4 linked regions of the Xenopus tropicalis genome follow. The protein of the gene in region 1 interacts with the protein of each later gene in a pairwise test. Links are inferred from orthologs where the notes say so. Each region holds a gene or a part of one and is shown on either strand. Other genes may lie near its edges.

Region 1 (5,036 bases):
CCCAGCAGATAAACTATATGACTATACACTGTAGCTAAAGGCAAATACCTTGTGCCAAAGCTAATGAATTAACTGATAGAGATTTATAGGGTAGGAAGAAGCTGCTTGTAGAGCAGGAAGGGGTCTCTCACCTGTTGGATCCCCAGTCTGGACCATGAAGCCTTTGATGTTCCGGTGGAAGAGGCAGCCGGTGTAATAGTTACTGGCACAGAGAGCTAGAAAGTTCTACAGGGGACATAAAAAAGAAGCAATGTCATTGCACAGTTTAGGGCAGCGGTTCTCAGCCTGTGGGTCGGGACCCTTTTGGGGTAAAACGGCCCTTTCACAGGGGTCGCCTAAGGCCATTGGAAAACACATATTTCCGATGGGCTTAGGAATAATTTTATGGTTGGGGGTCACCACAACATGAGGAACTGTATTAAATGGTCATGGCATTAGGAAGGTTGAGAACCACTGGTTTAGGGGAGATGGGATCTAGGGGCTATATAAGCAAATCCTCTCACCTCACTGGCCTTCGGAGCTCTCTCACAAAACAGCTCAATTTTGATCTCCCCCAGATCCGTGTGAAGAGTCACAGACTGAGAGAGAGAAACAGAGCGTTACAGTCGGTCTCATTTTATAGAATAAGGGGGACATTAACCCCAGCCCTTGTATCTCACCATTCTGAGTCAGGTAAACCTCACACTGCTTGTTCTGATGGCGGCACAAGGATGGCGCTCACTGATCTGAAAGACAAAATATATAAGATTATCAGTAAGATGCTATCACATAAAGACAAGAGTTTAATACTTACATTTTTTGCACAAAAGCTAATTGTGGATATGGTTTCATATAGTTAAGCAATTTACACCCTATAGGTGGCAGGAAAGTATCAGAACTATAGTTTCTACATTTTTGGACTTCTTCTGCGCCAGTAATCTGGCAGCACATAGCAGGGACACATTTAAAGACAACCAACAAGCAAAAGGTTAGAATTGCTGTTTATCCCTGAGGAAATAGAGGCAGTCAGTGTGTACCAGGAAATACCTTCCCCCATAAAAGCTTTAGGGGATTAAAGCCAAATTCTCAAATCAAACCTGTCTAAAACTACAATAGGTGACATAGATTTGCACACTGTCCCCCACATATACAGCAACCAGGCTTTCCATTAGGAAAACACTGCCCCAGTGTATTGAAGCTTTGGTAAGAAACACACTAACCCAGTACAGACTAAACAGCATTACCTAACTGAAAACATATTATATTTCCCCATATAGACTATAGGAACCCACACTGAGTTGACTGATATCTTCCCTCCTTTTTTACCACAACTCACATTTCCCTCAGACGCTGGGTGTAGTAAGATGGCGACGATTCCACAGACCGAACGTATATACACTATTCATTGAACAAGGAGTAATAACATGGCAGCTTAACTCGCTTGTGTCATCAAAAGGCGGCACTTTCATTTTCTCCGTGGCGGCAAGATGACGTTCCTCACCGCTTCCCACGCCAAAGTGAAGTCATGTTATTTTTTGTGAGTACAAAGATGGCCGACGTCCTGAGCGTTAAATCATCATAGGACGAGACATCCGGTCTCTTGGGTGTAGCAAGATGGCCGACGTCCTGAGTGTTAAATGGTCCATAGGACGAAACATCCATTCTCTTGGGTGCAGCAAGATGGCCGACGTCCTGATTGTTAAATCGTCAAAGGACGAAACATCTGGTCTCTTGGGTGCAGTAAGATGGCCGCTGCCACGACACACGCTGAATGCATTTGAGTTTAACAGCAGGTCAGTGCCTGCAGTTATCAATATCTCCGCAGAGGTTTGCGGAGAGGGATAAGTAACGCTGGGAAGTCGGGCTGAGGTAATATAGGGGCGGTTCTTTAGTGGCGCTGAGTTTCTTCTATCCGCCAATTCACAGTGGTTCTCTGACCCTAAGATACAAGGTGCATAGTGCAAAGAATAGCAGCTTACAGGTATAGAACACATGCAAATAAATAAAATTGACTAATGTTACATAGTTACATAGGGTTGAAAAAAGACCAGTGTCCATCAAGTTCAACCCATCCAAGTAAACCCAGCACACCTAACCCACACCTACCAATCTATACACTCACATACATAAACTATAAATACAACCACTAGTACTAACTGTAGATATTAGTATCACAATAGCCTTGGATATTCTGATTGATCAAGAACTCATCCAGGCCCCTCTTAAAGGCATTAACAGAATCTGCCATTACCACATCACTAGGAAGGGCATTCCCCAACCTCACTGCCCTCACCGTGAGGAACTCCCTACGCTGCTTCAAATGGAAGCTCCTTTCCTCTAATCTAAAGGGGTGACCTCTGGTGCGTTGATTGTTTTTATGGGAAAAAAGAACATCCCCCAACTGCCTATAATCCCCTCTAATGTACTTGTACAGAGTAATCATGTCCCCTCGCAAGCGCCTCTTTTCCAGAGAAAACAACCCCAACCCTGACAGTCTAACCTCATAGTTTAACCCTTCCATCCCCTTTACCAGTTTAGTTGCAGTCTCTGCACTCTCTCCAGCTCATTAATATCCTTCTTAAGGACTGGAGCCCAAAACTGCACTGCATACTCAGGGTGAGGCCTTACCAGGGACCTATAAAGGGGCAAAATTATGTTCTCATCCCTTGAGTCAATGCCCTTTTTTATACAAGACAGCACTTTATTTGCTTTAGTAGCCACAGAATGACACTGCCTGGAATTAGACAACTTGTTATCTACAAAAAACCCCTAGATCCTTCTCCATTAAGGAAACCCCCAACACACTACCATTCAGTAGATAGTTTGCGTTTATATTATTTCTACCAAAGTGCATAACTTTGCACTTATCAACATTGAACCTCATTTTCCAGTTTGCTGCCCAGTTATCTAATTTTGTCAAATCGCTCTGCAAAGCGGCAGCATCCTGCATGGAACTTATAGTTTTGCACAATTTAGTGCATCAGCAAAAATAGAAACAGTACTGTCTATGCCCACCTCCAGGTCATTAATAAACAAGTTAAAAAGCAAAGGCCCAAGGACTGACCCCTGCGGTACCCACTAACCACACTGGTCCAATTAGAAAATGTTCCATTTACAACCACTCTTTGTACTCTATCCTTCAGCCAGTTCTCTATCCAATTACAAATATTATGTTCTAGGCCAATATTCCTTAATTTGATCATTAACCTTCTGTGAGGTACTGTATCAAACGCTTTAGCAAAGTCCAAGTAGATGACATCAACTGCCATTCCAGCATCAAGGTTCCTGCTCACCTCCTCATAAAAGGCGACTAAATTAGTCTGGCAAGATCTGTTACGCATAAAACCATGCTGGCACAAACTAATAGTATTGTGAACTGCAATGTATTCAAGTACCCTATCCCTTATTACCCCTTCCAAAAGTTTTCCTACTACTGATGTCAGACTAACAGGCCTATAGTTTTCAGGCTGAGAACGGTATCCCTTTTTAAATAACGGCACCACATTAGCAATCCGCCAGTCTCTTGGCACCATGCCAGACCTCAATGAATCCTGAAAAATTAAGTGAAGAGGCTTGGCAATCACAGCGCTCAGCTCATTTAATACCCTGGGATGAATCCCATCCGGCCCTGGACCTTTGTTTACCTTTACATGTTCAAGTCTCTTTTGAATTTCCTCCCGAGTGACCCATGCGTCAGTAGCTAAATTACTAGAACTGGGCATATTACAAGGGAAGCCTTCATTAGCTGGCTCCTCAGATGTATAGACAGATGAAAAATAAGAGTTCAAAATTTCAGCTTTTTCCCCATTCTCATCAACCAACTTACCCCCCCGTGATAATAAAGTTCCCACCCCTTCTTGCTTCATTTTTTTACTATTCACATAATTAAAAAATAATTTAGGATTCTTTTTACTCCTAGCTGCAATATCCCTTTCCATTTCTATTTTAGCTTGCTTGATAGCTTTTTTGCTGCTTTATTTGCTTCCTTGTACCTGATGAAAGTTTCTGCTGTCCCAGCTAACTTGAATGCCCTAAAAGCACGTTTTTTCTTACCAACCTCGACAATAACACTTTTATTCAGCCATAAAGGTTTTGCTTTGTTACTCAATTTTGTTCTTTATTACAATTTATCTTGGACAGTTTTTTTGCACCTTTGCAAATATAAAAAAAAAGTGCCTTTTGTGATTGTTGGTGAATACTCTTCCCATTGTTCTGCTGATCGGCTGCTGGGGGGGAGGGGGGGGATATCACTCCAACTTGCAGCGCAGCAGTAAAGTGTGCCTGAGTCTGAGCTTTCAGCCAGCGCTACACATTAGAACTGCTTTCAGCTAACCTATTGTTTCTCCTACTCCCATGTAACTGGAGGAGTCCCAAGCCGGACTTGGATTTCTTACTATTGAGTGCTATTCTGATACCTACTGGGAGCTGCTATCTTGCTCCCTTCCCATTGTTCTGCTGATCGGCTGCTGGGGGGGAGGGGAGGGGATATCACTCCAACTTGCAGCGCAGCAGTAAAGTGTGACTGAAGTTTATCAGCGCACAGGTCACGTGGCTGTGGCACCCTGGGAAATGAAGAATATGGCTAGGAGGATTCTGCTGGAGAAGCTCTATTAACTGACAGTATTCCTTAAACACTAACCACCCCCTACTATAGTCATTTCTGCCCTGTCTCTGTATGTCACAGCTTGATAACCAACTTTTCCTTTCCTCCCAGGTTCATTCCTGATTGTGCCGGATGTTGTTGGGTTTGGCCTTCAGACATTCGAATCATTTAGCCCATTGCAGTCGTTGGCACCCCGTCCGTAGCATCATGGATCTTGGCTCGGTGGTTTCCTGCCTGAATGTACTCACCCCCCCAGCTCTGGCAGAAGGTTGGGATAATGTGGGGCTTTTAGTGGAGCCCAGTCCCCCGCACCAGGTCCACAAGCTCCTCCTGACCAATGATCTGACAGAAGACGTGCTGGACGAGGCGATAGATACGGGCGCTAATATGATTCTGTCCTATCATCCGCCAGTATTCAAAGCCTTGAAGCGCATCACCCAGAAAAGCTGGAAGG
Region 2 (5,187 bases), on another chromosome or scaffold:
AGTTACTATAGTGGCCTTCATATTGGCCTTAAACAATACCAGCTGGATACAGTGTCATAAAATGTAAACGACAACACTGCTGGCAATCACATAAAAACAAATTGACTCTCATCAGAATTAATGAATGCAGGTACCATTAACCTTAGTGTGGCATAAAATGGCATCACTCCAGATAGAAATATGGCTACAGCTATATTGATACGCTTATAGTACATGTGTGCCCAGGCTAGAGTATGAGAGCAGGGTGTGCCTGCATATACAGGGGATTAGGAAGGATTATTAAAGATACAAGAAGACTACAGGCACTTTACATTGTACAATGCAATCTGCTTCCAATCGTATTAAACCATGGCAAGGCTGTCGATCAAACAGGCCACTGGCAGTTCGGTAAACGTACTCTTTTTTTCAGGACTTCAGGAAATATCATTTTAAATGTGTAATTTAACAATTGTTAGGAAAATGCAAACCTGAAAATATCAGCACAATTGCTCTTTAAATCTGTACACTGTGGACGATTTAGCGCAGTTGTTTTTAGGCAGAGCAGCAACTGATTGCAGTGGAGTGGGGTGCTTCTAAAGTTTTATATGGAAGCATATAGATACATATAAATATACATACATAAAAATACCATTGTTCATACAGTTCGTTTAAAACTACTCAACACGGCAGGGCTATAAATAAGTAGGTTTACGTCTACCTTATAACTGTCAGCTTTAATATTCAATAAGAGCACAAGGTTATTATCATCGGGCTAAACTATGCATTTACTGTAACCTCGATAAAAGAATACATTCATATTTAAGCCTATTATTTATTTAGCCAAAGGAAAGGAAACCGGTTATTATTATTTGGAAAAAATCTGCCTGTTTGCTAAACGTTTCAAGCGATCCAGATGACTAAAATACAGAATAACACACACAGTGGTGATTCTCTAGTTAAGAAATGAAGAATGATTTTCGTTCTGTGTAAAATGAAGCTCTACTCGAGATTACACACACTTTGATCTGGGGTCTGTCAGACAGGTTGCTTGCTCAGAAAGGGACTGCTCACAACCATTTGTGGTTAGATTGGGTTAGATTGCATCGAGAGGGACAGTGAGAGGGGACACAGCCTGGGGTAGGGGTCAAACACAAAGCTACAGCCTTGCTCGACTTCATACACTGTTCCAGTGCTGGGCCTGACACACACACAGGGGCTCTGTGTTTATAAGACAGGCCAGTGCCACCTTCACATACTGCACTGTCTGAGGTGAGGCCTGCGCTAAGGCAAACTGCTCCGAGGGCATCTTTCACTAGGAGAACCGGCAAGGACTTGGGGTGAAATGATTAATTACATGTATCAACCGTGTTGTAAATGCTGTTTCAGAACAAACCCTACTCTGCCCTGGTTCTCCCCACTAGCTCTTTTAGAAAGACGGAATGTTACAAGTACCTATGGGGGATATTATTTATGCAATTTAAGTTTTAATTCGGAGGATAATTGGAAATGAATAGATCATTAGTCATCAGTTGCCATTTGGCATGTAACGAATGGATACTGACTTGTGTATAAAGCTGTTTAATGTGTTGAGTTCGCCTACACTAAATGAAATATAACTTTTAACAACGAGTTTGGGAGATCTGGGTGCTCGGTACCCATTCGTACCCAGCCATACTTTGGGCTGTTTGTATAAAGAGTGGGGCTGGTAAAAAGAAAAAGCTTACGGATTTAGCTCATTATCAGTCTGGCGAATTAAAGGCACCGTTCCATCAGGCACATTAAATCTGAGATAAGTGATTTAATAGCAGGGGGAAGTTACAGTATATTTTATCAGTGAGTTGGAATAACGCAGTAAATGAGAGGCGCTTTTGGTTAATCATTGAGTAAGTTTATATTTTCTCTGAGATAAGCTCAGGTATAGCACCTTAATGCTCTCTCTGCCTGCCATCTCATGTGTAGCCACCATCTCTTTAGCACCCAGAATCTCCCACAAGGGTTAATAATAATAATAATAACTGCATATCCTTGCTCAAAAGGCAAATACAAACTGCTGAGTGGAAGCCTCTATGGCAACCAAAGTGTTAATGAACATCCCGAGCAGTCTGAGCCCACACAGCCCATGTGCCCTAAGGCACGCTACGGTATGGGGGTCTGTGGGAGCCATGCTTATTAGCCCGTCATTCCGACACTGAGCGGCTTATGTTGGAATGTTCCAGACACCGTACACAAAATGTAGGCTAAGTGCAGCACTGTACTGGAGCATCCCTAAGTTTGCAGCCAGCCAGGTAGGTGTGAAACTTTAGAGGGGCTGGGGCGCACACCGACCCGGGGGCTGCACTTGGGTGCTGGCTAACAGGCCCTATTGCCTCCTCCATCTAAAAGCTGCTTTTCAATAAGTTGGGCTAGAGGTGAGATACGGGTGGACTCCGGGCTGACTAAAATTAACCCTTTGTATCTGGGCCTGTAATGCACAGATGATTGGAGCTCTGGGCGATTTACAGGGCTGGGTAACATAGAGATTGTGCCCTATCTGTCATTATCACGCCCCTCTGTTCATGCTGGCACTCACCTGCAAAGCAGTCCTCCCAAATCTGTTGGGTGCATCCACATTTCGCGCCCCCTTCAGCAGGTCTTCTAATCTCTCCAATTCCCCCCGGGCAGCAGCCGTGGTTATTAGGTCCGCCATTGGATCTTCCATTCTCAACTGGGGTCCAGGATAGGGATACGGGGCTGGGCAGTGGGTTACTGGGGCAAGGCATGGACAGGCTGACAGCCGGGGATCTGAGCTAATAGGGTGATAGCTCGTAGTAAATACTCGTAAAAAAGTCAGTGCCAGGTCTCCGCCCCTAGCACACGTGATGAGCAGATACTCCTGCAGCTTCCACCTCTGCAGCAGTCTCTCCGCTCTGCCTCACTCCCCTGCCTCCCTCCGCTCTCCTCTCTCTCTCCCAGCTTTTTCCCACTGCCCACCGCTTCCCTCCTCTATCTCCCTGCCTCACTACTCTCCATGCCAGCCTTTCCCCACCGCTTCCCTCCTCTATCTCCCTGCCTCACTACTCTCCATGCCAGCCTTTCCCCACCGCTTCCCTCCTCTATCTCCCTGCATTACTACTCTCCATGCCAGCCTTTCCCCACCGCTTCCCTCCTCTATCTCCCTGCCTCACTACTCTCCATGCCAGCCTTTCCCCACCGCTTCCCTCCTCTATCTCCCTGCCTCACTACTCTCCATGCCAGCCTTTCCCCACCGCTTCCCTCCTCTATCTCCCTGCCTCACTACTCTCCATGCCAGCCTTTCCCCACTACCCACCGCTATCTTCCTGCCTCACTACTCTCCATGCCAGCCTTTCCCCACCGCTTCCCTCCTCTATCTCCCTGCCTCACTACTCTCCATGCCAGCCTTTCCCCACTACCCACCGCTATCTTCCTGCCTCACTACTCTCCATGCCAGCCTTTCCCCACTACCCACCGCTATCTTCCTGCCTCACTACTCTCCATGCCAGCCTTTCCCCACCGCTTCCCTCCTCTATCTCCCTGCCTCACTACTCTCCATGCCAGCCTTTCCCCACCGCTCTATCCTCTATCTTCCTGCCTCTCCAATCTCCCTGCCTCACTACTCTCCATGCCAGCCTTTCCCCACTACCCAGCGCTTCCCTCCTCTATCTTGCAGCCTTACAACCCTTTTCCTTCCAGCCTCTCCCCACTACCACCGCTTGCTTGCTCTCTCTACCGAACTCGCTACTCTCTCCCTACAGACCTCACTACTCTCCTCACTACTTGCCTCCTCTCTCACCCCGCCATCCTTTCATCATTACTAAAGTTTCCTCCTCTGTATCCATGTCACAGCTTCCTCCTATTCTCTTTCTGATTTGTGTAGTGCAGCACTGTCCTTTTTCTAGTTTTAGTCTCACCATCGGTCTTATATGTTCTTTCTCCCATGTCTACTCTTGTCACCCCTCAGTCCCTGCACCAACCTACTGCACCCACTATTCATCAGCTCTAGTCGGGCACCTTTACTTTTCCTATCCCCCAGATTTACTCCTTCCTTTAGGGCCCCCAACATATTCTCACTGCTCCTGCAGATCTGCAGCCTCGGTCAGGACTCGCACCCCATTTCTCTCCTCGCAAGCTTCTGTCCTAACAGTCTTCCTTTCCTACCACACGGTGTCACTTCTCTCCGGCAGCCCTCCTTCCCATCTTCCCTCTCGTACAGCAGAGCATGCCCCTGCCCCTACCAGACAGCCTGCTCAGACCGGCGTTCCCTTCCATCATGACTCCTTCTCCCTGTAGCCTTTGGCACGGCCGCCCGATGTCTGCTGGAGAAAAGGAACCCCAATGTCTCATCCCAGTGCCACTGAATATACAGAAGAATCGGAATCATGGGAAGTGGCGTCACCTGAACATGTATAACAATCCAGCAGACTGCTCGCTAGGGCACAAGAGTTCGGAACCCAGCGCTGGCGGCACAGCGGATTAGGCCTAACGGTTCTCCCAGTGAGTGTGCAGTTCGGGATCCTCAGTTGAATTGCCCACAGTCAAGCCTTCATAAAAATTGTCATGGAGAAAGCGCAAAGTACAAGTCCAAAGATCGGCTCCCAGGCAAGCTCAGGCGCCCCAGAAAGTGCATCGGAGAAAGGTTCAGCCTCAGTCAGTGACTTGGTTTCCGAATGGGCAGCACTCCAGCCCCGCACACCGGCACAGCCCCGCACACCGGCACAGCCCCGCACACCGGCACAGCCCCGCATAGCACTGCACTAGAGGATATGGCGCAGCCCCACAAACTAGTGAAGAATGAAATATTTTACAAATCAGTGCTCAAGTCTTCACTGGACCATATGCGCCTGAACCTCATGTGCCAACTCCTCTGACACATAAGGTTTGGTTCCAGCCCTTTTATTTTCTTCTCTTTACATCGTACCTATCCTGTCACCTCCAGTGCTCCCTATATTATCTATATTTATCTCCTGTGCCTCCTTCTGTCACTTCTCTATCCATTGCTAATCCGCCTCCTTCAGCCATTTCCATATACTGACTATGTCCCCTGTCTCCTCGTTATTGTTCTCCATATATTGCCCATGGCCTGTGCATTACACAGTGGCGGCCCTCCTTTCAATCTCTAGTTTGCCCATTCCTATTGCTCACGTCCTATGTCTCCTCTCTCTACATTGCCATCTCCTGTGTCTCCTCCATTGGTAGCACTCCATCCTAAAG
Region 3 (5,030 bases), on another chromosome or scaffold:
ACTCCCGGTGGGCCCAGGGGTCAGTGGGCCCTCCTGCTCCTGATCATTTGCCTGTTTCATGGTCATTCCCTATTTCTGAATGGAAAGAAAGAGGAGAAATAGATGGAAGAATAGATGCTAGCATTAAGGAGAATAAAGTGGTTGAGTAAATAAAGGAGGAAAAATTGTTCCGAGAGTGGGCCCATGGTCTAAGGGTTTCTGGTGGCCCCTGGGGTCCCAGTCCGACACTGTGAATCTAAAGTTTCTAAACCAGTTATCCAGAAAGCTTTCAGTTGCAAGGAAGGCCATGCTCCCCAGAGTCCTTTTTAAGCAATTCAAATTACTTGTTGGCAATTATGACACATGAATAAAATATATATATATATATATATGTGGCCAAACAATCTTTTTACATTTAAATATAAGTAGAAGATGCCTTCCATGATCCATTAGAAGGGATACAGAATCTGGACTCAAACCTTACATGAGTACAAAGAGGTTTATTCTGTACATGCTTTCTAAAAGGTTTGTTTCCAAATGGGCACAAACTTTAATGTGAAATTCTAGTTAAAAAAAAAAAAACCACAACCAACCACACACAAGGCCCTATGCATTCCAAATAATAGATTCCATCATTGTACTTTACAGAACAGCTGAATTCGCCAGGGGTTTCAGTATTAGGCACATCTCCCACAAATCAATTAAATCTAAGTTTCTTAAGCAGTGCCAACATCTTACATGTAGTTCCCAGGCACCCCCAAGCACAATTAGGAAAATGTTAGTATACTGTGCAAGTCCATGTCTATTGAGGGATCTCTGGGAACCACAGGTAAGATGGTGGCACAGCACAGCCACTTGTTAACTGCCGATATACAAGAGCCTTTGTACGCACACAATATGCTAGACCTTCAATTTAAAATTATGGAAACACTACTCACATGTATTTTTTTTTTTAAGCTTTGTTTTTATTTTCATATCAAACATTACAACATTTGTAGTGATATTATGTTACATTTATGTATTTTATACTCTACTTACAACATTTGAATTTAACGTATAAAAAAAAAAAAATGTGAACTTTTAGCTCATACCTGTTCGTCCAGGGCCTTGTGCATACATGTATTTTTAAAAATCCATCCACACACTGAGGCCTAATACATATGACCTACCTCTGAACTCATCCATCACAAAGAAGTCTTCAAGATAAAGCAATTTTCCAATCCACGGGTCATAGGTGAAGTAGTACATTGCAAACCCAACAATGGTGTATCCTATAAACAAAGAAGAGATCAAATGAGTCCTGAAATTAAAAAAAAAAAATCGTGTACAAGGAGAAAAAAAACAAAAACACAAAAACAAAAGTAATTACAACCACAAGTCAGGAATATTTCACAGTTGTTTGACTAGAACTCCCAGAATGGTGAGGAGAGTTAGAGTACAACTGTTAGCCGTCCACAGGTTGTTGTACTTGACTGCTTCACATCACAACCTTGAAAGCAAGTTATTTTTCCAGTCTGAGTGCTGCTAAAGCATTGTCATTGCATTTGAGCAAATAGCATGTTCTACTTTTAACCAGCATAGCGGAGCACTTGTATTAACATAATACATTCCTTTTACACGGCAGTTCAGAAGATTATGAAAGCCCCCCCCCCCAGATGTACAAATGGGAACCAGAGATGCAACAGATCAAGCACTATGGTTTTCCCCAATTTGTAGCACATGGAAAACAAGGAATCAATACAGGCAACCCATCATGCTGATCACCGATTCCTCAATACTAAAATACAAAAATAAATCTGTACTAGAAATCACAACAGTTCAATCGCACAAGGAGGGCAGGAGTTACCAAAAACATCAGGTTTAGTATTAGAAATGGTCATAATCAGCCAAGAACTTAACTGGAAAGACACTGTTGGAGAATTTAAGTCCGTATTGCTTGATTTAGGTTTCCAGGGAGGGGTGTGGGGGGAAAAAAAAAAAAAAAAAAAAGTGGGGTAAAATAAAATCCATTGAACAATGGAGAATCTTCCGTGAAGACTCAGTAGCAGAGCATGGATTTCTGATCTACCGTGTTTGCTGCTTTAACGTGTCAGCGATTGCCCGTTTGCCTTACCTCGTTTCATGATCATCTACTTTATTGTGTAACGGATCTTTTAGTTACCTCCCCGCCCACCCATGTACACGGAAGGGCCATCCATGTACATGGCGAAGCTAGAGACTGTAACCTGAAGATTGGGACAAATTAAAGAGAAAATAGGATTTAACAAAGTTTGCATCTGCGCACATTAGGGTCAAAACAAATGCCTCAGATTCTGGGAAATGGGGCAAGAGGGAAAGTAAAAATTACCATCAGCACTCTGGGTCTCCTTAGGCACTTCAGCAACAAGACAGTGGTAAAATGGATGTTCTCCAAATCCATCTTCAAGCAGATCTGTACAGAAGAAAAATCAAATGGTGTAGGAGTGAGTAGGAGACAAAAAAATGCACTCCCCAATGTATGTGTGCTTAGCAGCAAATGCTCATGGGAGCAGCTTGGCAGGCAGCCCAGGACACAGAGCAACACAAACTAAATATCAATTGTTTAGATAAAAGAAATTGTGCTTCCGAGACAAGTTTGGCAGAGATACACACCCTCTACGATTCCACTTACCTTTCTCAGTTAGTACTACTTGGTTCTCCATATCTTCATATTTTGCCAGTTCCTATAAGACAGGAAGATTACATCATTGAGTAAAAAGGGGACATTGTGTAACAGGAGCAGTACAGCAATACAGTTCTACAACTGCCTACAGTAGCAGATTAGCACTCAAAGGGGTACTAAAAAGCAGAACAGAATATTCCCAACATCATACTGAAATCCCATTCCCTCATCTCCTACCTCCCTTGTGGGTAACCACAACCCCCAAGCCAAGTTACAGGTTAAGTTGGGACAAACTAACCCAGCAGTGCCAGAAAGCCACACAAGTGACCGTTACATATAAAGGTCCTAGTTTGAAACTTTAAAGGAGAACTGTACAAATGTAAGTACAACAGTGAATGCTAAAGGCTTTCAGGGAATTCTTGTAGTTCCCTACACCCAGGGTCAAAAGCTCTTGACTCAAAATGAGTGAAAGGGCAGTTTGCTACAGATCTTGTCACCTACAGCAGCCAATCAGCACAATGCATTTACGATTCACCTGTTTAAAAGCAAACTGATTGGTTACTATGGGTTACACCACCTGGTCGAACTTAGTACCTTCCATTACAGGTGAGAAAAATAGCGAAACCTCAAAGTAAAATCGCAGCTACGTTACAGCAATGCACCTTTATGAGTCGCAAGATATCTTTACAGTCCCCGGCATTAGCAGATCGTATGATAAATTTGGCCATTTTCTTCTCTTGCTCTTTTTGCCTTTTCTGACAAGTCCTCTGTATGTGAAGAGTAGTAGGAGGTGTTTCTTCATTCGCTTCCCAGGAGTTTCCTCTCCTTAGTCAGTCTGGGACCCTGACCCGGCAGAGCTCACTCACTGCAGCCACCGTGATAAGAAAACTTCGACGACGAAGTGCAAGCGCGGAACCGAGAGCAGGGTATTTATTATGGGAGGGAGCTCCGCCCTCTCCGCACTTCCGCCAAACAATTACACTTGTATAAGCGGGGCTGAATGGCCACGGCCCATTACGTATGAGGTGATGATTCCCAGAAATGACTCACTAGAAGTTTAGCAGGGTTTTTAGAGTGGAGCTGCCACTTAGTGGCCATTATGTTAAACTACAACAACACAATGTTCGGTGTACTTTTTGGAAAGATTAGTACAGGTATAGGACCCGTTGTCCAGAATACTCTTGACCAGGGCCGCCATCAGAAATCACGGGGCCCCTCACAAAAAAAATTTCTGGGCCCCCCTCCCACAAATACAAAGGACTCACAGATATGAGACATTGGTAGCCAGCAGGCCCCCCCCCCCTAGTACATTGGTAGCCAGCAGGGCCCCCCAGTACATTGGTAGCCAGCAGGGCCCCCCTAGTATATTGGTAGCCAGCAGTGCCCCCCATAGTACATTGGTAGCCAGCAGGGCCCCCCTAGTACATTGGTAGCCAGCAGGGCCCCCCCTAGTACATTGGTAGCCAGCAGGCCCCCCCCTAGTACATTGGTAGCCAGCAGGGTCCCCCTAGTACATTGGTAGCCAGCAGGGCCCCCCTAGTACATTGGTAGCCAGCAGGGCCCCCCTAATACATTGGTAGCCAGCAGGGACCCCCCTAATACATTGGTAGCCAGCAGGGCCCCCCTAATACATTGGTAGCCAGCAGTGCCCCCCAGTACATTGGTAGCCAGCAAACCCCCCTAGTACATTGGTAGCCAGCAGGGCCCCCCCCTAATACATTGGTAGCCAGCAAACCCCGCTAGTACATTGGTAGCCAGCAAACCCCCCTAGTACATTGGTAGCCAGCAAACCCCCCTAGTACATTGGTAGCCAGCACAGCACAATCCTCCGGCGACGGCTCCGGCGACGGCTCCTCCGGCGAGGTCCTTCGTTCCCAACAGCACTGCACTTCTGAGTGCCGAACGACGCCAGGCCCTTTTATAAGGTTGCTCCCCGTGCGTACTGACCACCAATGACAGGGGCCCGGAATAGATTAAAGGGGGCCCCAGCTAAGAAAACTGTAGCAGCGCCGGGCCCCCTTTTAAAGTTAAAATCGTCCGGGCCCGGGACGGCTGTACCCCCTGTACCCCCCTGATGGCGGCCCTGCTCTTGACCAAGGGTATTCTGGATAACGGGTCTTTTCTTAATTTGGATCTCCATACCTTAAGTCTACTTAAAATCAATAAAACATTAATTAAACCCAATAGGATTGTTTTGCCCCCAATAAGGATTATTTCTATCTTAGTTGGGATCAAGTACAAGGTACTGTTTTCTTATTCCAGAGAAAAAGGAAATCAGTTTTAAAATTCTGAATTATTTGATTAAAATTGAGTCTATGGGAGATGTGGTTTCCGTAATTCGGAGCTTTCTGGATAATGGGTTTCCGGATAAGGGATCCCATAACTGTATTACACAACCTACCTCTGCATC
Region 4 (4,992 bases), on another chromosome or scaffold:
AACGCATAACATATACATACAATTCCTTGCTTCTGTAACATCTCAATATCGTGGAAAAATGACTCCTGAAATAAAAATAAAGACAAACTATTTAGAACCAGACTTTGCCCATTTGATCTCATGTTCTTTGATGTTCTGATCTTTATCATATGTTTTTTATCTATTTAAAATAAGAAAATATTTTAATGTTCTGCAATTTTTTTTTCTGTAATGCAGAATAATTAGCAATATTTTCTGAACCAGAGCAATGCTATACAAAATTATTTTCAGTTCCATCTCTTAAATATGCCACATAAAAATGACTATAAGAAAAGCAAGGAGTATGCAGGTTAGTTATGGCTATAATAATTAGAGATGCACTGAATCCAGGATTCCTTTTTAGGCACGGTTCGCTTTCGGCTGAATCCATGGCCCTGGCGGAACCGAATCCAAAACCTAATTAGCATATGCTAATTAGCATTCAAAGGGTTAAATGTTAGGTGGGGGGGAAATTTCACTGCGTGCAAATTCGGATTCAGTTAGCACTGCTGCTTTCAGGTGTTTTACATTCAAATCAGTAGGAGGAATTTAGGCTAATACCAGACAAGGCGTAGGGCAGATATTTTCGGCAAGCGGTAAAGCGATTGCTGAAAATTCTGCCCTACGCCTCCTACTTGTGCCTGCACCTGAATGAATGAGATACGCTCGGGTGCAGGCACAAGTAGCGTAAATACGCATAAAAACGCAAGACTTTGCATTATCTCGCGTTTTCATGCGTATATTGGCTACATGTGCCTGCACCCGAGCGTATCTCATTCATTCAGGTGCAAAAAATATCTGCCCTACGCCTCATCTGGCTTTAGCCTAAGGGGGTAATTTTAGCTGCTAGGAAAATGCCTCTGAAACTTGCCCCATATGCCAAAAGCCTTCACACTGCTTGTGGTACTTGTGGTAAATGTCCCATAACAGGACTACTGGTTGAAAGATTTGTACACTATATGAAAACTAGAATGTAAAGTAAAATAAATATTTTTTGGTCCTTTTAGATTGTATAATTTAACTTATTCATCTTATTTTGTGTACCTCATCATGAAATCCTACGTCTTCTTCAACAACCTGATCCTCCATTGATTTCATGACAGCAGTTAATGATTCTGCCACCTAAAGAAAAAACATTTTTCATGCAAAGCACTGTATGAAGTAGACAATTTAGTATTGTAATGAACTAGTATTAATGCACTATTAATGTAGTTTGCAACTTCTTGTAAGGTACATACACATGAGCTCTAAATGGATGTAATGCTGTTCTTCTCCTGGCATTCACAGCACATATGCATGTAGAAATGTGTATGTGTGTAACTATGCACATCTATGTATGCATCTATACTATCTGGGACATAAATAATTCCTATAGATTTTTATCCAAAATATTGGTATCTTGGATTTCCTATTGAAACACTTCTGGAGCTTACTGAATGTAAAAAATGTAAACAAAAAATAGTACAGGTATGGAATCCCTTATCCGGAAACACGTTATCCAGAAAGCTCTGAATTACGGAAAGCCCGTCTCCCATAGACTCCATTTTAATCAATTATTTCCGAATTTTGAAACTGATTTCTTTTTTCTTTTTAGTAATAAAACAGTACCTTGTAACGGGTCCCAACTAAGCTATAAAGAATCCTTATTGGATGCAAAACAATCATATTGGGTTTAATTAATGTTTTATTGATTTTTTTAATAGCCTTAACGTATGGAGATCCAAATTACGGAAAAAACCCATATCCAGAATACCATTGGTTCCGAGCATTCTGGATAATGGGTCCTATACCTGTACTTTTTTTTTTTTTTTTTTTTTACATCTGCTTGGCTTTATGTTGCCATAGATACAGTGGCTTAACTATGGGGCATGGGCCCAGGTGCAAAAGTTGCTATATGTGACTTTGACTCCCTTGTAAAACACACTTTCACTGTCTTATTTTTAATTTATTTCTAAATGTCACAATTTAATTTTCTTAAAATGTTAATAACTCAGCCCATCCAAACATGATTACCTGGAGATTCTGACCCTCCCCAAACACAGGATCACAGGAACTCACTCAGGGCATTCTGAGGGCAATAGAATATGAATGATTTGCCAGGTTAGAGGCAGAAGGCTAAACAGTTGAAATCAACGCCCCATTTACTAATATGGTTCTGTCCTGCACCTTGGTGGACCTTGATGGACAGGTGAACCTTGATGTTTCCAAGCAATAATTACCTGACAGGGGTGCTCCAGCATTTACATATTTAATGAATATCCTGAGAATCCTGAATTTCTCTATAATCAATCATATGATTTTAAAACATTTGCATAAAATGTCCAGTGCTTGAAATTGCCAGTGGAAAATTGATTTATTCCCATTTATTAATGTACTCTACATAATGTATTTATAATCTCTCTCTGCAGGAAAACGACTTAAGGTGCCCATACACAGATCCGCTTGCTTGGCGATGTCGCCAAGCGAGCGGATCTTCACCCGATATCCCCACCTACGGGTGGGCGATATCGGGTAGCAAGTAACTTAAAAAAAAAATTATCCGAATTGGATTACATTTGTGGTTATGGGGCAGTCGGTTTGGGGACCGCATCAACGAGCCGATGCGGTCCCCGATCTGACTGGATTTTCTAACCTGGCCGATCGAGATCTGGCCAATTTCAGGCAAGATATCAGTCGTATCGGTCGAATCGGCAGCTATAGTCGGCCCGTGTATGGGGACCTTTAGACTAAAAATCCAATAGGTAAGTTAGATCACACCAATCAGTATAAATGTTGCCAATTAAATAATAGGCCATAGGATACCATGTAATATATAAACATGGCATAGTTTTGATATAAAAAAAAAACATGTACACAACAGCTGAGCTTTCAGGAGGGGACAAGTAGGTAAAAGTATCAAAAGTAATACATCTGCATTAGGGAGAAAAAAATCCTGTGTCATTTGAAGGAGACATTTGATTCCTTACACAGTAGTGGTGCTGGGAGCTCTTGTAGATGTGCAGGCATAGGTGAAGCGTGATTTTTTGGTTTGTGGGGCTTATTACAGCTATATACTATATACTGTTTGTTTCACAGTCAAATGGTGCAGGAATTAATTGAAACACATACAATGTAGCGCCAGCCTAATACATAATGCCTCAGAATAGTTTCAATTCAATGTCAATGTAAATTGTATCCATGTGGTAACATAAAAAGATAAGGCTAGCTCTGTGTAAAATAGTCCAGAATACCTGGCAAACCTGGTGCCCTAGAACCTATGGCTGGATAGATACAGTGCCAATTCTACTGATTATACCTCACAACACACAGGAAAATATATAGAGCGCAGGTTCTGTCAGTGTGCATGGGCTGTGCTTCATCAGACACTCATACTCAGTCAAGTACACAAACATTAGAAGATTACAAATCAGGAGCTTTCACTGATAATGAACCAAATCACAAGTACCTTATTCCAAACCTGCTGTTTGCAGATATTGCTTGTCTTCCACTCAGTTTAAGTCCTGGTACAGCATTACAGGGATTGGATAAGCTGCAGGGTGAATCCTTCCAGCCTATCCAATCTGTGTTCAGCTGTACCGGGACTTACACTGAGATCAAAACAGCAGTATCTACATACCTACAGACAGCAGACTTGAAATAGTGAATCAGTTCAGGACAATTTGTGGATGCCCATGCCTCGGATCCTGACTGAGGAGGTTACAAGTATAAGTTTCCCGCCAAAAAGACAGAAGCATCACTTCAGCAAATTAACCGGGTCATGTGACCTGTCTCTAGTCCCTCTAGTGGAAGCACAGTTTACCAACCTAATACTTCAGCCATCACAGGACTTGCTAGTTTAGGATGGTGAGTTTTAGATGTTTGATGAGAGGTTCACTGCTTTTTTCTGTTTATGAACTTCAGTACCCAGCATCTTGCCTTTGTTACTGCTGGGAAGCTGCATATCACCTCAGGAGAAGATGCAAAACTAATTTATAGGGGGACCTACGGTACTTTGTGCACTTAACATACTTAATTATTTGAAGGATTTTTCAGACATTAAAAATATAGGTATGTGACCTGTTATCCAGAATGCTGGGGACCCATGGTTTTCCAGATAAGGAATCTTTCTGTAATTTGGATCTCCATACTTTAAGGGGCACATTTACTACCCCACGAACGGGCCGAATGCGTCCGATTGCGGTTTTTTCGTAATGATCAGTATTTTGCGATTTTTCGGAAAATTGTTGCGACTTTTTCGTAGCCATTCCAAAAGTTGCGCAAAATGTTGCGATTTTTTCGTAGCGTTAAAACTTGTGCTAAAAGTCGCGACTTTTTACGAGCGAATCGTAATGGCTACGAAAAACTCACGTTTTTTCGCACAAGTCGTAATGGTTACGAAAAAGTCACGACAATTTCCGAAAAGTCGTAAAGGCGACGAAAAAATACGAAAAAGTCGCAAAATTTTCGTTTTCCAATCGGAATTTTTCCAATTCGGATTCGTGGGTTAGTAAATGTGCCCCTAAGTCTACTAAAAAATCATTTAAGCATTAATTAAACCAAATACAATTATCTCCAGTAAGGATCAATTATTAGTTGAGATAAAATACAAGGTACTGTTTTATTATTATAGAGAAAAAGGAAACCATATTTCAAAATTAGAATTATTTGCTTATAATGGAGTCTATGGGAGATGGTCTTCCTGTAATTTGGAACTTTTTAGATAACGGGTTTCTGGATAATGGTTAAAATGTAATCCTTATTTCCAGGAACAAATAATTCAGGGGTTGCCAAAGGATATTGTGCTCTACTAGCTGATCCTAATACCTTAAATAAGATTTAAGAAATGTCTGTTCAGACAACATTAAAACTTTTCTTTCACCACGTTGCAATAAAGTTCAGCTTTCCATGGCAGCATAATACCTGAGGTGGCTAATGTTTTTTGTGGAAGTGGGTGCAGGTGCATTGTGGGAGAGGAAGTACTAGTACATATGCCCT

What was found.
Region 2: the proteins of nif3l1 (region 1) and cdkn2c interact in binary tests that used the Homo sapiens proteins (3 or more experiments, as listed by UniProt). The two-hybrid records come from large-scale screens. The link is inferred for Xenopus tropicalis from reciprocal best matches to the Homo sapiens genes NIF3L1 and CDKN2C.
Region 3: the proteins of nif3l1 (region 1) and sat1 interact in binary tests that used the Homo sapiens proteins (3 or more experiments, as listed by UniProt). The two-hybrid records come from large-scale screens. The link is inferred for Xenopus tropicalis from reciprocal best matches to the Homo sapiens genes NIF3L1 and SAT1.
Region 4: the proteins of nif3l1 (region 1) and dmc1 interact in binary tests that used the Homo sapiens proteins (3 or more experiments, as listed by UniProt). The two-hybrid records come from large-scale screens. The link is inferred for Xenopus tropicalis from reciprocal best matches to the Homo sapiens genes NIF3L1 and DMC1.

What each region holds. Positions count from the first base shown.
Region 1 is NC_030685.2:7,985,585-7,990,620, reverse strand, and holds the start of nif3l1 (NIF3-like protein 1), read left to right. Parts: upstream 1-1,672; 5' UTR 1,673-1,772; exon of another isoform or gene 1,773-1,848; intron 1,849-1,861; exon of another isoform or gene 1,862-1,960; intron 1,961-4,693; 5' UTR 4,694-4,714; coding exon 4,715-5,036. Other genes in the region: ppil3 (peptidyl-prolyl cis-trans isomerase-like 3), read right to left, coding at 132-225, 504-578, 660-662. UniProt on the Homo sapiens protein: May function as a transcriptional corepressor through its interaction with COPS2, negatively regulating the expression of genes involved in neuronal differentiation.
Region 2 is NC_030680.2:96,076,943-96,082,129, reverse strand, and holds the start of cdkn2c (cyclin-dependent kinase 4 inhibitor C), read right to left. Parts: upstream 3,110-5,187; 5' UTR 2,678-3,109; coding exon 2,549-2,677; intron 1-2,548. UniProt on the Homo sapiens protein: Interacts strongly with CDK6, weakly with CDK4. Inhibits cell growth and proliferation with a correlated dependence on endogenous retinoblastoma protein RB.
Region 3 is NC_030678.2:43,097,845-43,102,874, reverse strand, and holds the start of sat1 (diamine acetyltransferase 1), read right to left. Parts: upstream 3,512-5,030; 5' UTR 3,349-3,511; coding exon 3,283-3,348; intron 2,682-3,282; coding exon 2,630-2,681; intron 2,411-2,629; coding exon 2,327-2,410; intron 1,251-2,326; coding exon 1,149-1,250; intron 1-1,148. UniProt on the Homo sapiens protein: Enzyme which catalyzes the acetylation of polyamines. Substrate specificity: norspermidine = spermidine >> spermine > N(1)-acetylspermine. This highly regulated enzyme allows a fine attenuation of the intracellular concentration of polyamines.
Region 4 is NC_030680.2:120,485,536-120,490,527, reverse strand, and holds the start of dmc1 (meiotic recombination protein DMC1/LIM15 homolog), read right to left. Parts: upstream 3,546-4,992; 5' UTR 3,464-3,545; intron 2,441-3,463; exon of another isoform or gene 2,032-2,440; intron 1,141-2,031; 5' UTR 1,117-1,140; coding exon 1,063-1,116; intron 66-1,062; coding exon 21-65; intron 1-20. UniProt on the Homo sapiens protein: Participates in meiotic recombination, specifically in homologous strand assimilation, which is required for the resolution of meiotic double-strand breaks.